2 linked regions of the Mytilus edulis genome follow. The protein of the gene in region 2 interacts with the protein of the main gene of each other region in a biochemical or structural test. Links are inferred from orthologs where the notes say so. Each region holds a gene or a part of one and is shown on either strand. Other genes may lie near its edges.

Region 1 (7,852 bases), on a different chromosome or scaffold from region 2:
TTTCCTTTACCAGATGAAGGTTAAGATCGATACACATTTGGCATTTGCGTTAGCACTGATGTCCTCACGCGCCAAAACAACAAGCGCTACATGCTTTATATTTTCCTCATTATCATTGCATATTCATTTCCAATAATAGAATGTGTTCTCGAAATGTTTCGGACTTTAAAATTCTCACTTTGACAGGAAAAACGTGAGAGAATTCTTATCAAAACTTATCAAATTTCGATAAAAATTACACCATCATAATAATGTTTTGCTGTGATCTAATTTTAGGGCGATTCTAAAACCCAAAACTTGGGTAAATGCCGGATTAATTTCCGTATTTCCTTGTCATTCCTAACCAGTTTGAGCAAGCTTGAATTTTATCCTAGAAAAAACCCAACTCGTTTAATCCAGTCACATATACTTGCTCCGGTCACACAGAAGTTGTCTTAGGTCATATTCAGTTTTAGTTAGAATGAAATTTTAAAAATTGTTGCCATGTTTCATTATATTATCTAAATGATTTCACATTTTTTGATATGTTGTATAATCTTATCACTATTGTTGCTGTTGAAAGTGATCGAACTTTATTCATGTATTTTGTTATTTAGAATGTTAGATAAAGTTAATCTATAGGTTCCGAGAAAGGTTCTATTAAATTGAAAATTAGCCAAGATCCACGATTTCATCAATATTTCTTTGTTTTGTAGCAATGTGCAGTTTACTATCCATATCCGTACGCTGAAATGTCACAGTATGCATGGTTTCAAATCCTATAAAGGGAAGACTAAATTTGCAAATAATCTGTTATTTTTGTTTATACGACTCAAGCAAAGTGTGTCATTAGTGATAATAGCCGATGATAAAAATATAAAAGAAGATGTAGAATGGTTGGCAATTAGACACTGAACTATCTCATGACAACATGCAAAAAAAGTAGACGTAAGCAACTAGTATGGGGGTCTCATTGGGGGGTTCCGATCCCGGATCCCGCTTACTGTTTTGTCAGAAATCCGTATCCCGCTTACACTATGTACGTAAGCAATTCTCATTTTTTTGTCATTTCCCGGGTCCCGCAAGACCTCATTTCCCGTTTTCACGCCACAATAATTTGACTTTCACGTGTCACGCTTATAAAAAAAATAGGCAATCCCGCGTCACGCTTAGACCCCAATGAGACCCACTAGTATATAAAGGCAACAGCACCGTCTTTGACACTGAATGCCGAAAAACCCATACAGTATAGTATGCTATACTATATAAAAAATGAAAAATATAAAACAATTCAATTGATAAAACTAACTTTCTAATGTATAACAAAATAATTTAAGAAAACAATTATAATAGACGTGAACCAACGAATCACAATATTACCAAAGGTTATCCAATGTGAAACGCGAGACCTAACATTGCAACAGAATATTAGAACATAAAGTTATGTAAGAATTTCTAAAATATGATTATGTAAGCTATAAGGTATAAAAGGCATTTAAATGTATAAGATAAATATTTTAAGTGCCAATCATTTCAGTTTGTTTCATTCATAAAAATCCATATCCATTACAATTATATGCTATTTTAAATCATGCACTGTGTATGAACTACATGTACAAAAGAGTTGAGACCTAAATTATATTCCTTATAAGAAAACGTTTCAACAACTAATTGTAATGATTTCACATCAATTTTTTTTAAAGAATGTTGTCTAATTTAATATAACTAGTAGTATAAGAAGTTTAAGATAGAGACAAAGTGTTGAATATGATAGAAGAATAAAATGAAAGATAATATTTTTGTGATGACATAAATTTAGATGTTGATGGCGACGATAATGATGGTTCCAGTATATATACCATGTATACAAATTACACTTTATAAAGTACAAGAAATCTGTTAGACATTCTAATAAAATGTTGCACATTTTGGAGAATTTTAAACATGTTGTGATGTTACACTGACTATTGTTTCAGGTAAGGGTGAAGGTTGGTACCTATTAAAACGTTTAAACCTGCTGCATTTGTTTGCACCTGTCCTAAGTCAGGAACCTGATGTTCAGTGGTTGTCGTTTGTTGGTGTGGTTCATAATGTTTCTCGTTTCTTGTATTTTATATTGAATAGACCGGTGGTGTTCCCGTTTGAATGATTTTACACTAGTATAATGTTTTAAGGCCCTTTGTAGACTGCTGTTTGGTCAGGGGCGGATCCAGCCATTTAAAAAAGGGGGTTCCCAACCCAGGATAAAGGGGGGTGGGGTGCAACCACAGGTTCCCATTCAAATGCATTGATCGTCCAAAAAAAGGGGGTACCAACCCCCTGACCCCCCTGGATCCGCCAATGTTGGTGTCAGTCAATGCTCCGTGTTGAATATATAAAAAAGAAGATGTGGTATGATTGCCAATGAGACAACTATCCACAAAAGACCAAAATGACACAGACATTAACAACTATAGGTCACCGTACGGCCTTCAACAATGAGCAAAGCCCATACCGCATGGTCAGCTGTAAAAGGTCCCGATAAGACAATGTAAAACAATTCAAACGAGAAAACTAACGGCCTTATGTAAAAAAAAAATGAACGAAAAACAAATATGTAATACATAAACAAACGACAACCACTGAATTACAGGCTTCTGACTTGGGACAGGCACATACATAAATAATGTGGCGGGGTTAAACTGTGACCTATATTGGTTTACTTTTACTCCTTGTGACCTGGATGGAGAGTTGTCTCACTAGGCGGCTCTCATACCACATCTTACAATTATTATTGATAGACAGCGTTTTCGGTCTCAATTAAGAGAATTAAAAAAGTGTTTTTCTACGATAAATATTCTTGTAGTACATTCGAGACAAAAGCAGAAGAGCATTGAGTTATTCTCAATGTTTGTCCCACACTAACAGGGATGATCCATCAAAATGTTACCTATGAAAAGAATATTAAGAATGACGGTAGAGCCGAAATTGTAGTCGAAAATAATATTTATTTTCCTCGGACTGCATTGACTATATATTGCAATTATCTTTGCATATGTTGAACAACGACTACTTTTTCTATTCTTTCATAACTATACATTACCACAAAATCATACATGTTTCTTGTAAACACAAACCCGTTACGATATTTTGAAGCAGTTGTAAGGGTTCCATTCTCGACTTTGGCAGTGATAAAAAGATTCAGATTTTTTTTAGACCGCATGATATAGTTGTATATGTTTGCTTATACTGAGTGATCAATTTGTAATTTGTACATTATTTTCTTTAGTGTTTTATGTTCTGATTTAAAGGGGCACTAGCTGTCACTTGAATTCATGTTCACCAATTTGACTCATATACAGTAACTCATATTTTATTTATTATAATGTAAAAAATTTATCCAAATTATAAAAAGTCGAAAATTAACAATTTACGGGGCATGGGCTCGAGAATATATACAGCTTCGTTTTGTGTGTATTTTAGTCAAGACGCCAAATTATTAACTATCGAGTTGACCTACGATCGAAGACGTCCGATTGTTATATAAGCGATACAAACATAAGTATAGATATAAATAGATAAGGGAACTCGTGCAATTGGATTTTTCTAGGTTAATTTCAAATTATAGATTTAAAAATTTATATAGTAATGTTTATCATTGTTTTTATCTGTATAAGAATGATATTTTGTGGATCGAATCAATTAATTAAATGATTTAGCTTTTATTCACTTTCAATGTTGACAGTTCATGCGTTATCCATCTCTAGCTATAACGGGTTAAATTACAGTTCACATGAATACGGATTCAATGAGGTCGAACCATTCACCTACAAGCGGATAAGTCATCATCAATGTTTCTTAACTTATTTTGACAAAATTGAACCACACTAGCAGCTAAAAAGCGAATTATTATTTCACTGTATCACTTTAATTAATGATTGAACAAAAGCAATCATATTTGAGATTTTATAGAAATCTCGTAGTTAGTTTCCCTTTTATGCTTTTATCTTCAAGGATTTGTATAGTAGTACACACATCTTTGATTTATCTTAGTGCCAGTGATCTTTGCATTCATACCGAATATGAGTTATGATCAATTATGGAAAAAAATCTTTTGGTTTTGCTGCTGCTTCTTTATGGAATAGTTTACCAGACCATTTCAGGACTGTTAATAGCTTCTCACATTTTAAGAGTCTTGTTCAGTCCTGGAGTGGAACAGAATGTTTTTGCTCTGCCTGTAGATAATTTGTGTTACAATATTTTATATGCTTTTTATGTTGCATTAACAGCTTGCATTGCAACTGAAATTTTGTTTTTTACATTTTAAAATTTGAAAGATTTGAAATTTTTACTTTATAAATCATAATTTAAAAAAAAAATAAATTTAAACTACAAATTAAAAAAAAAATTAATGCTTCATATATTTTTGGTATTTTGCAAGATACATGTGTATGCTATTTGCTTAGAGTTAATTTTTGGTGCTGCTTTTTATTATTTATTGCATGCTGCATGCCTTGTTTTATTTGTTATTGCATATGTTTTTATATTCGGTGAAAAGCTCATTAGAGCTTATGTTTGCATTGTTTGGCAATATGCCGAATCCAAATAAAGTTTTACTTACTTTTTATGGTGTTAATATGATACTTTTATTAGTTCGGACTTTCTTGTATAGAAAGTCCCTGGTTTGGCTACCAATGCCTTGCTTTCAGATGATTTTTATTTTTTATTATTCTAATGTAATTGTTTTCTCTAAGTCTTTTGACTTATTGTTTATAGTCAACGTAATTACAGGAATAATTTGATAATCACATAAAATCTAACTTTTATTCTTTTGGTGTCAACTTAATCCTTCTTTTATTTAAACAAAATTTCGAGACACCTCGGGATTTTCCCATCAAAATGATGAAAGGGTCTTTTAGTAAAAAATCCTGTAAAAATGACGTAAACAGAAACATTTCATTCATGAATTGTTCATTCAGAAAGTAAAAGCGAAAGCAGCTGTCATTATGTCTATCCAACTTTGATATTTTATTTTACCTTATTTTAATATCACGTATTAATTCAGGTAAGCCTATCTGGCAGAAATCATATTGTGATGATTGTCAAATTATTTTTTACGTGACTGTCACTGTCAGGGACACCTGTTTACATGATAAGGAAGTGGTTTGAAAATCATTTCCCCTCTGGCTCTGCTTGAAACCAAACCACTATATCACTAACCAGACTTTCTCTTTGTAATTTTACAAATTTTGTCAGTGAGACAGCATTCCAACATGTTGATAATTCAGTAGCAATTGGTCTTGGATACGATACAGTGCAGTCTGGTGTATCCGCGCACCTAAGACTTATGCCTTCGCTTCATTCAACTGATAAAACCAATAATTGTATAATATTGTGTGAACACATTCATAACATACTTTTATTTCTGAAAATCTTCTGTTTGTACAGTCAGAGCTCAGACATAAATAAGTCTTAATCTGCTTTTGACTCCTAGAGGTCTAAATTTGTAAGTTTTAGGATTTGTCTCCCTTAAATACAAGACAAAATATGACTTTAATAAGTCGAATATTGTTAAGCAAGAAATAATTGACCAGAATCAAAAAATTGCAAATATCGACTCGGGGAGGCTTCAAGTCGATAAGTTACCAAAAATAGCTAACTTCAAGACCCACGCATATTTATAAAAAGGTCATGCATCTAAATCATATAATGATAACATCAAAAGACAATGCTTTGTCTTCTAAAGAAAAATATGAATGAGAGTCTAAAAAATCGGAGATAATGTTAATTAACCTTATAATGCAACCACCTGGAACCACACTTAATGAGGTAAAACATCTGTGTTTAGTAATGATGTTCAATTAGATAATTAAATATAGATAACTCAAGTCCTTGTGAACTCTCAGACAGGTTTTTGATGTCATAGGTGGTGTACTTTGGCCACCAAGTAAAATTAAGTATTTTCATCAACATAAATAGACCTAAACAAGTCTGTCATTTTCTGACTTAGATGAGTCTAAAATTGAAACATATTTTTATAATAAATACAAGTTATGACTTCTTAAAGTCAAAAACAAAAATAGACTTGTTTATGTCTTAGCTCTGACTGTTGTAATCAGGGATTTCATTATCTTTCATGTTGACTGATACTTTCCACGTTTCTAGGTGGTACTTTTCAATTTATTCCATGAATATCTTATATACAAATTCCTACATTTAGGCGGTACTTGTCAATAGCATAGGAGGATAAAAGTACCGGGTACCGCCTCCTAATGAATGGCCTGGTTGTATGGTTTCACCCTCAAAATTTTGTGACATGTGTGTCCAAAATTAGGAAAACCCCTGTTCTGAGAGTTCCTCCAATGTCAGGTGTTTTCGCGCATGCCTTCCAAAAATAGCCTATTTTTAATAAAGGGAAGATTTTCTACTCCGAAATATAACTGAATTTGAACCAAGCACACTGCCAAGGATTCAGAGCAAAAATTATTTCAATCTGATAAAAATTTGACTTAATTAAAACAAATTTTATACCATTATGTGTTTTTTTTAATGGAAATTGACTAAATATTGTAAATAAAGGGATTGCAGTTATTATTTTACTCTTGAACTTATCAATTTTCATTTTTTCTCCCATCGGAAGGCTAAAACAAGGACGATTCTATTTATGTTACATGTACTTTGTTGATATAACGAAATCAGCTGATGAGCGGTATCACCAGCCGTGCGGACACCGGGGACCTTATTGACAGTTTACAAAAACATGATGTGTCCAATCTACTCTGCAAACTAGGTTATAATTCAGTCTCAATTCCTTATCCCTATATACATGTATATGTACCTTATTGCTAATTGTTTGTCATTACTGGACAAAACTTTTACACTCCTACTACTCCTACACTGTAGATAATTCACATATACTCGCACATTTGTTGTAATTTCACATCGAACGTGTACATAAAACAGTACAGTAGTACTAACTTGGGAGGCCTGTACTATAAAGGAAGAAGAAGAAGAAGAGTCTACTCTCGTATTCGGAAGAAGAAGAAAAATGTTCCCTTAAAATTTTGGCGTCATAATAAAAAATATATCTGACACCACAATCATTTTGACAATGGAAAAGTGATTGTTGTATGATGTCAATAGTTCAAGCAGGACAGATTTCCAAATAGCGATAGGGATATTTGTCCTTCATTATTGGCTTTCACTCTTGCAGACTTTCCCGTAAAATATTGACGTCAATACTGACATTACATTAAAAAAAATGTTTCTTACAGCAATGCATTTGATGTAATAAGAGAAATGTCTGATGCAACAATGCAGACATGATTGTTGAATATTGTCAAGTGCAAAAACAGCAAAAATTTTAATGCATAATTATTACGTCATGTTTATAATGGTCATAATGGTGAAAAATTGAACTCTTTAAGTTTCATTTGAGTATAGCATATATTGAAAATTATCAATGTTTTACATATTTTTTAAAAGTTTATCATGTATTTCATTTAGTTATATATATGTACCCATTAAACCCAAGAAATGTTTTGTCGTATATGCATTTTGTAAAATTATGATCTTATCCATATTTTTAGGATGAGTGGAAAACGTGTCAACAACACGGCAACAGCCAGGCTAAAGCAAGATTTCATGCGTATTATGCGTGACCCAGTACCATATGTCAAAGCTGCTCCACTTCCATCTAATATATTGGAATGGTAATATTGATTATATATCGCACTTAAACATGATTAAAACCCCATTGAAAATTAAATAATTAGTTGTAACAGATGTATCATACTAGTTCCTAGATGTCTGGACTTGAATGGCAGATTTTTAACTATCTCAATATCAATTGACTTGATCAAAGATTTGTCCATCAGTTATAATGCCAGTTAGG
Region 2 (7,273 bases):
GAAATATAGATGTGTGATTTAAGAACATTATGCTCACAAACAATGGATAAGTATGTATTTATATAATTTTTTAAACGTTTCTCAAAATGTTACACAAGAAATCTAAACAGGAAGTTTTATCTCAGACATGTTGTTTAGGTTTCTTTGGGGGGCCATAGTATATATATATATTTTTCAAACTAAGAGGATAAACACTGAGATGTTGCCTGCTTTTCTAAAAATCATTAAATTTGATGTTGAAAGTCTGATATCAAGGTTTAAATGCAGATATATGGGAAAAGATGTTACCTGTAACTTCCTGTAGCGATATCCCAGATATTAACAGTTTTATCCCAGGAACCAGTAGCAAACTTTCTCTCATCATGACTGATATCACAGCATGATATTATATTGATATGTCCTCTGCAAGAAAAGTGTCAAATAATAAAACTTTAATTATCTATTTTTAACATTTCATACAGTATCATATCATACACTAAGTGCATTTCACTTAAACAAAAATGCTAAAGTTCTGATAACATCATTTTATTTTACTCTGATAAGTACATTCTAATTTCTAATCCAGCCTTACAGTGTCAGAAATACTGTGAATCAGTAAAATGCAAACTCAAGATTTAGTACATTTACTTGGTCACAGCAGAATACTTATTTCAAAATAGATCTTAGAAAATGTTTCCCTGTGCCAAGTCAGGAGCCTGTAAATAGTGGTTTAATTTTGTCCTTTGGGGCATTTTATAGCTTGCTGTGTGGTTAGGGTTTTGCTCATTGTTAAATCTGTACTGTGAGTCACAGACCTCTAGTTATTAACCTACTTTATTTTTAGTCTTTGGTAGAGAGTTGTCTTATTGAATATCACATTACATCTTCTAATTTTTATATAATTTTATCTTAGTACATCATGCTTAGTTCATTTTATCTGTTTGAATTTCTGGTGAATGATATAACAACATTTTACTATAAACAGTACTTACTGTACAGTAATGGTGACTTTTAAAGTCTTTAGATCATAGAATTTGGCAGTTTTATCCATGGAGGTTGTAATAATCTTATCATCTCCAGGAGCAAACATACATTTCGTAATGGTACTGGTGTGAATATCTGAAATAAATACAAATGTAGGTTGAACAAATTAAGCTTGTACCATTGACGTCCATTCACTTAAACCAATCTTATGTTTTGACAATTACTTTAAAATTAGATCATCAGAAAAAAAGCACCAAAGTTTCAAAATCGTCAAAAGAACTGATTCTACCACTGCATTTAATAATTCTTCACTCTAATTTAACATGGTTGAAAAGCCTACATATTGTTAATTTCTTGATCAAAGTAAAATAAACTGAAACAATTATTAGCATAACAACCTTTCATAATAATTGTTTCTTTATTAAATTAATAGATGAGATACTAAAACATCCAGTTTGTTTGTTTGTGAAATTCTAAAAGTAGTTCCACAACAATAGCTGGTAAAAAATTTGGTACCTAATAGATACAATGAGTAGCATACATTTTGCAAAATCCTAATACAGGATTAATTACAAACTTTTTTGTACATACCGTCAACATTATGTATGAGATCTCCTGTATTAGAGTCCCAGATTTTAACCGTGTTATCCAAGTCTGATCCAGAGACCACATATTTCCCATCATGTGAAAAATTACAACTTGTCACAATACCAGCATGTTTTCCTGACCACTGCAAGAAAAATAACGTTTTCATATTTTTCTTCTTTTGTAGTACCTACTCAATAATTGAAATCTTTCAGAAATAGGTTGATTAAAAGATTTTGTATTGATAGACCAGGAAGGCAGAGTGCCTGGAGAGAACCACTGACCTTTAGTAGATTTTGGAATAAGATGGAGATACTTAAGTAGTCCACATTTACAAACAAGATAATAACTTAACTACATTTCTTCATACTCAAAATAAAAATATATTAAATCATAGTGACATTTATCTTACAGCACCTCCAGCTGATTCAGTTTGTTTACTATTATAACCCAGATCGTGGTGACATTTAGCCTTACAGAGCATCCAGTTAATTCAGTTTATTTTATAACCTTAACTCACCACACAATTTCCAGATTCAATATCCCAAACAGCAACTTTCTTATCCCATCCACAACTAACAAATCTGTAAATAATCAATAACCTTAGTTACATTCAATATCCCAACATACAATGGTTAGTAACATTCAATATGATATCCCAACATACAATGGTTAGTAACATTCAATATCCCAACATACAATGCTTAGTAACATTCAATATCCCAACATACAATGGTTATTATGATTGATAGGTATTCCATCACATTTATAAAATTTAGATAAGATCATCATATCTGTTGAAATATTACTAAACTCATAATAATAAATACATAAAATTGAGAATGATATTTAAAAATGCTACAATTTTACTCCATGATTATTCAATGCTTCTATTTTTTGTTATAAATAATGTAACAGATTAATGAATAGATATGCATATGTTACCTCCTTCCATTGTCATTGACATTAGCTTGTGATATAATGCTATCATGACATCTTGTATAGTTATGGAGAACTTCTCCTGTCTCTACGTCCCAAATCTTGATTGTCTTGTCATCTGAGGCAGAGAGGATTTTCTGATCATTGTCAATGTATTTACAACTTCTTACTGAGTCTAAATGTCCACGGAAAACCTTTATTCTTAGCTGAAAAAGAAAATTACATACATGTACATATAAAAATAAGGAGGGCAGTCAGGGGTAATACTTGTATAAGTTATTTTCATTTACTTGTTACTAAGTTCATTTATATTTTCCAGAGTTTAGTGCGACATCTAATTTCACTGAACTATTACACATTTTTGCTTTGGGGCTAACTGAATCTGGCCTCTGGGTGCTGGATTTTCTCATTGTGTTGAAGAACAATTGTTGGCCTTGCACTGTAATCTGCTCTTTGGTCAGATTGTTGTCTCTTTTTTTTAAAACATTCCCCATTTTCATTCTAATATCGCGTTCATTATCACTGAACTAGTATATATTTGTTTAGGGGCCAGCTGAAGGATGCCTCTTGGTGTGGGTGTGGGAATTTCTCGCTACATTGAAGACCTGTTGGTGACCTTCTGCTGTTGTTTTTTTTCTATGGTCGGGTTGTTGTCTCTTTGGCACATTTCCCATTTCCATTCTCAATTTTAATGTGCATATTGTTATGCGTTTACTTTAATTTCTACATTGGCTAAAGGTATAGGGGGAGGGTTAAGATCTCATAAACATGTTTAGCCCCGCTGCAATTTTGCACCTGTCCCAAGTCAGGAGCCCCAGCTGGCCTTTGTTAGATGCTTGTATGATTTTTAATTTTAGTTTCTTGTGTATAATTTGGAGTTTAGTATGACGTCCATTATCACTGAACTAGTATACATTTTTTTAAGGGGCCAGCTGAAGGACACCTCCGGGTGCGGGAGTTTCTCACAACATTGAAGACCCATTGGTGGCCTTCAGCTGTTGTCTGCTGTATGGTATGGTTGTTGTCGCTTTGACACATTCCCCATTTCCTTTCTCAATTTTGTTAACCCTCTTGCTGCCAGTTGTTTTTCAGGGTTGCATTTCATATGCCAGAAAATACAACCGTTCAACGTTTGTGATGGACATGCTAAACAAATGACATCATTCAATATACATTGTACATGTGTGACATTATGCCGACCGTTACATTTGAGAGACATTGTAGAAACTTATAACACTTTTTAATTTTCACTCTTTTATTTTGATAAAGGTACAGCACTGACGTGAAGCTTGCATAAATTAAAACATGGACATATGTGTCCCTCCGTCAGGAAGAGGGTCAAACTTGGAATCTAGCCCAAACAAATTATGTTCAAATCAAATTTTGTAATGAAATTTTGATATCTAAACCTGAGCTAAATCTTCGTGTTCCCAAGTTGCCGTGGTTCGGCCAGCCTCGCTCTCATCTTGTACTATTTCAACTGATAATTCTTCTTCATCCATTGTCCATATGCAATGTTTCTTTTTCACATTTTATAAGTGTGTTTAGAAAATTTTCGCGTCCCTGGTTTCCTATCGGAAAGAAGAATAAATATTGACGTAAAATATATTAATTTAATTTATTTGTATTTGTAGCTTTATTTCAAGAACTATCACAAAACTATCATGAAAATAAAACTGAAATTCTGAATAAAATGTAATTTGACGAATATTATTGTTTACGACAACGACAATCTGACCTTGAACTTTCACAAATCGAAAATGGACGAGCCTCTGGATCCAGATGGACTCTTAGGTGGGTAAAATAAGGATCATGTTTTAATGATAGAAGAAGAAACAATTATATTTTGCACAAATCAAGCTATATGCTTCACATATCATTCAAATTTGGAAGCATTGCTGGTACACTACAGCTTTCTTTCTAAATTTTATGTTTAGTCGGACCAACTCACAAAGGTGCAGAAATTATCCAGCAAAGATTATTTACAGTTTCTTATGTTACATGTAATTAAAAGAAATATTAAACAGTTAAAACATATTAATATGGTTGGCAATACCATTTTTAACCCATGGTCTTGAATATATAATAATATTATGTCATGAATGTGATGTGAAAACATTTATAATGTTAAAATAAGAGATGTGATATTTATAATACACCTTATCGCTATTTGTCTGCCATTACTGGACATCACAAAAGTTCCAGTCAATTTTTACATCATAATAGAAAATATCTGACGCCGCAATAGAAAAGTGATTGTTGAATGAAGTCAAAAGTTCAAGCGGGATTTTTCGAAAGGTATCCAGTCGTTCGGGCCCCAAACCGATCCGGCCCCAAGTCAATCTGGCCCAAGTCGATCCGGCCCACGTCGATCCGTCCCCAAGTCGATCCGGCCCATAATAAAATATGAATTAACTAGATTTTGGAGGAATTTGTCACAAACTTTAACAGTATAAATGGAATTTGAAAAAAGTGTCCGATCGATGATGGATGACAACAGGTCAGCGAAGTATTGGAGTACCAGTTAACGAACTATTTTAAATCCATACGAAAATTAGTGTTATTGTGTCTGTTTGTATCGCAGTTTCTACATTTTTAAATTATGAAGTTATTTTCCATGATAACTTTTACTTTGAATTTCATGGCGATTTTTAACACACAGAATAGCTAAATAAATATTTACAGTCCAATGGACCTATAACATTTATCGCATAATAATGACTTGTTTAATCAAATCATTAGTCTATAATTGGTTTGTTTATTCAACAGTTGTCTGCTGATTGTGAACTAAGGTAATGCCACTCGTAATCACTTAATTCAATCCAATGCTGATTAATTAAAGTTACGTAATCTGTTTTTCAACAAGGTCTTTATAGTTTGATCTTCTGGTTTGGTGTAATTATTTGTATTTTTTTCAGGTTACATCAAAGGCTTCTATAACATATAAAAATATTCTATTCTATAACACTTTTTTTTGTAACATCGGATATGGACCATAATTTGCTATTGGGCTCCGTTTCCTATAACTATAGAAAAGTGATAAAATGTGAATTACTGTAAGAAAAGTTGCAACTACATCTAAAGATGCCATTATTTTTATCAATATACAAGTGTATGCTACTCTTCCCTAGAAAAAAAATTAAAATATACGAATTTCAAAGATTCTACAACCGTATTTTTGTGTCGTTTCTCGCGTTACTTTTTGCTTCCGAAGAGCATAACGCTGACTGATTTATAGATAATCGTCACTGGCAAATTCGTAACTTTTGCTTTCAAATAACAAAGAACATTGACCAATAGGAATAGTGAGAAGAAAATGCCGAGAACTATAAGTATTTATGTAGCAGATGTAAGCAGAGTGGCGTGATTTTTGTGTCCGATTTCGTAACGCAATTTTTAGATGATGTAATCTGCTTTGTTGTAATAGAATTCTTAAAAACAATATGCAAATATGGACTCTTCCGAGATGTTCAAACAGGTAAATCCGAGATGATTTACATTCTTGTTTTGATCTTCGTAATAATTAAGTAAGAAAATTACGTTATCGTTATGCGTTACATTTCACACGAAACAGAAGACCAGTTATTTATTAAAATTGTTTTTGTCCTTAAGTTCTAATCATTTCCGGTCATACATGAAACATGTGACTAACATGTGATAACGTCATTACGGCCGGATGTACGAAATACTAGGTCTAAACATTGTTTTTGTTTCCAACGGGATGTTAGCAAACATAATCTGTAGACTTGTTTCGTCTTGTTTAAAAGAGGAAAATACAATTGTCAAAGAGATTGCGCTGGTGGTCTGTTATTTTTCCTATGTGCATAATGTTACATATGATCCTGTGTGAAAATAAATGCCCAATGACTTGACAAAATCGATTTCATATTTGACAGACGTTAGAACACACTTCGTTTCCCGATAATGACGTGAAGAGTCCTTGGAAAAATCAATCTAAATTACGTCTCTTATCATTGTACCAATGCTCGTTGGATTGATTCAACTTCAGCAGTAAATATTACTGGATATTTTAGGTGAATAAATATAATTTAATAAAAAAATACATGTTAATATACCGTTACACTTGGAATGTACAAAGTTGGAATCTTTGTCACAGTTTTTAATTAATATTTTTTATTCATGTTCTGCAAACACTTATCAGAAACGCAATAAACTTGTCAAAGGAGAAGTAAACTTTTACCATGCATTACTTGAAAGGAAGTACTTAATTGATTTTAGCCCACTAAAGTAGGTTAAAATGTGGAAACCATGTAGATGGTGTACAGGTCACAAGTATCACATTGTGCCTATTTTAAAGATTTTAATTCCAAGTTAAAAGTTTTTTTCTTTACTGGATTTAAAGAATGTTACATTGCCAATGATTTGGAATAAATTGTATATAACTGGAATATCAAAACCAAATATTAAATACATTTTTTTGGCTTAAACATCAAGATACAACGATTATGGTATCCTGTATCAATGAAGAAAATATGGAAAATTCTGAATAAATTGTACTAATTGTTTTCAAAACAAGCACATATTAAGGAGTCTTATAATACTGTTACATTTAAGATGGATTTTAAGAAAAAGTATACTGTTCAGATTATTTTAAGCAGATTTTGCAATAAAATAAAACTAAAAAACTGCTTTCGGTTTCTTATGGTTTCCTGTCAGGTTTAAAAAAACTTTAATATAACATTGAAAATAGATTTTAAATATTAACATGAAGCATACTATGTAACACTAGTAATGGTGTTTATTTATGCCTTTTGAATTATATTGT

Evidence for each region.
Region 1: the proteins of E3 ubiquitin-protein ligase MARCHF6-like (region 2) and ubiquitin-conjugating enzyme E2 J2-like form a complex in vitro, tested with the Homo sapiens proteins (2 studies listed by BioGRID, with this or other methods). The link is inferred for Mytilus edulis from reciprocal best matches to the Homo sapiens genes MARCHF6 and UBE2J2.

Annotation. Positions count from the first base shown.
Region 1 is NC_092356.1:26,165,577-26,173,428, reverse strand, and holds the start of ubiquitin-conjugating enzyme E2 J2-like, read left to right. Parts: upstream 1-4,835; 5' UTR 4,836-5,023; intron 5,024-7,547; 5' UTR 7,548-7,548; coding exon 7,549-7,670; intron 7,671-7,852. UniProt on the Homo sapiens protein: Catalyzes the covalent attachment of ubiquitin to other proteins. Seems to function in the selective degradation of misfolded membrane proteins from the endoplasmic reticulum (ERAD).
Region 2 is NC_092348.1:8,292,960-8,300,232, reverse strand, and holds the start of E3 ubiquitin-protein ligase MARCHF6-like, read left to right. Parts: upstream 1-4,158; 5' UTR 4,159-4,247; coding exon 4,248-4,281; intron 4,282-7,273. Other genes in the region: WD repeat-containing protein 88-like, read right to left, coding at 289-402, 972-1,098, 1,555-1,693, 2,069-2,132, 2,494-2,693, 3,897-3,989. UniProt on the Homo sapiens protein: Endoplasmic reticulum membrane-associated E3 ubiquitin ligase that plays a critical role in mitigating endoplasmic reticulum stress, the regulation of cholesterol and lipid homeostasis, and ferroptosis.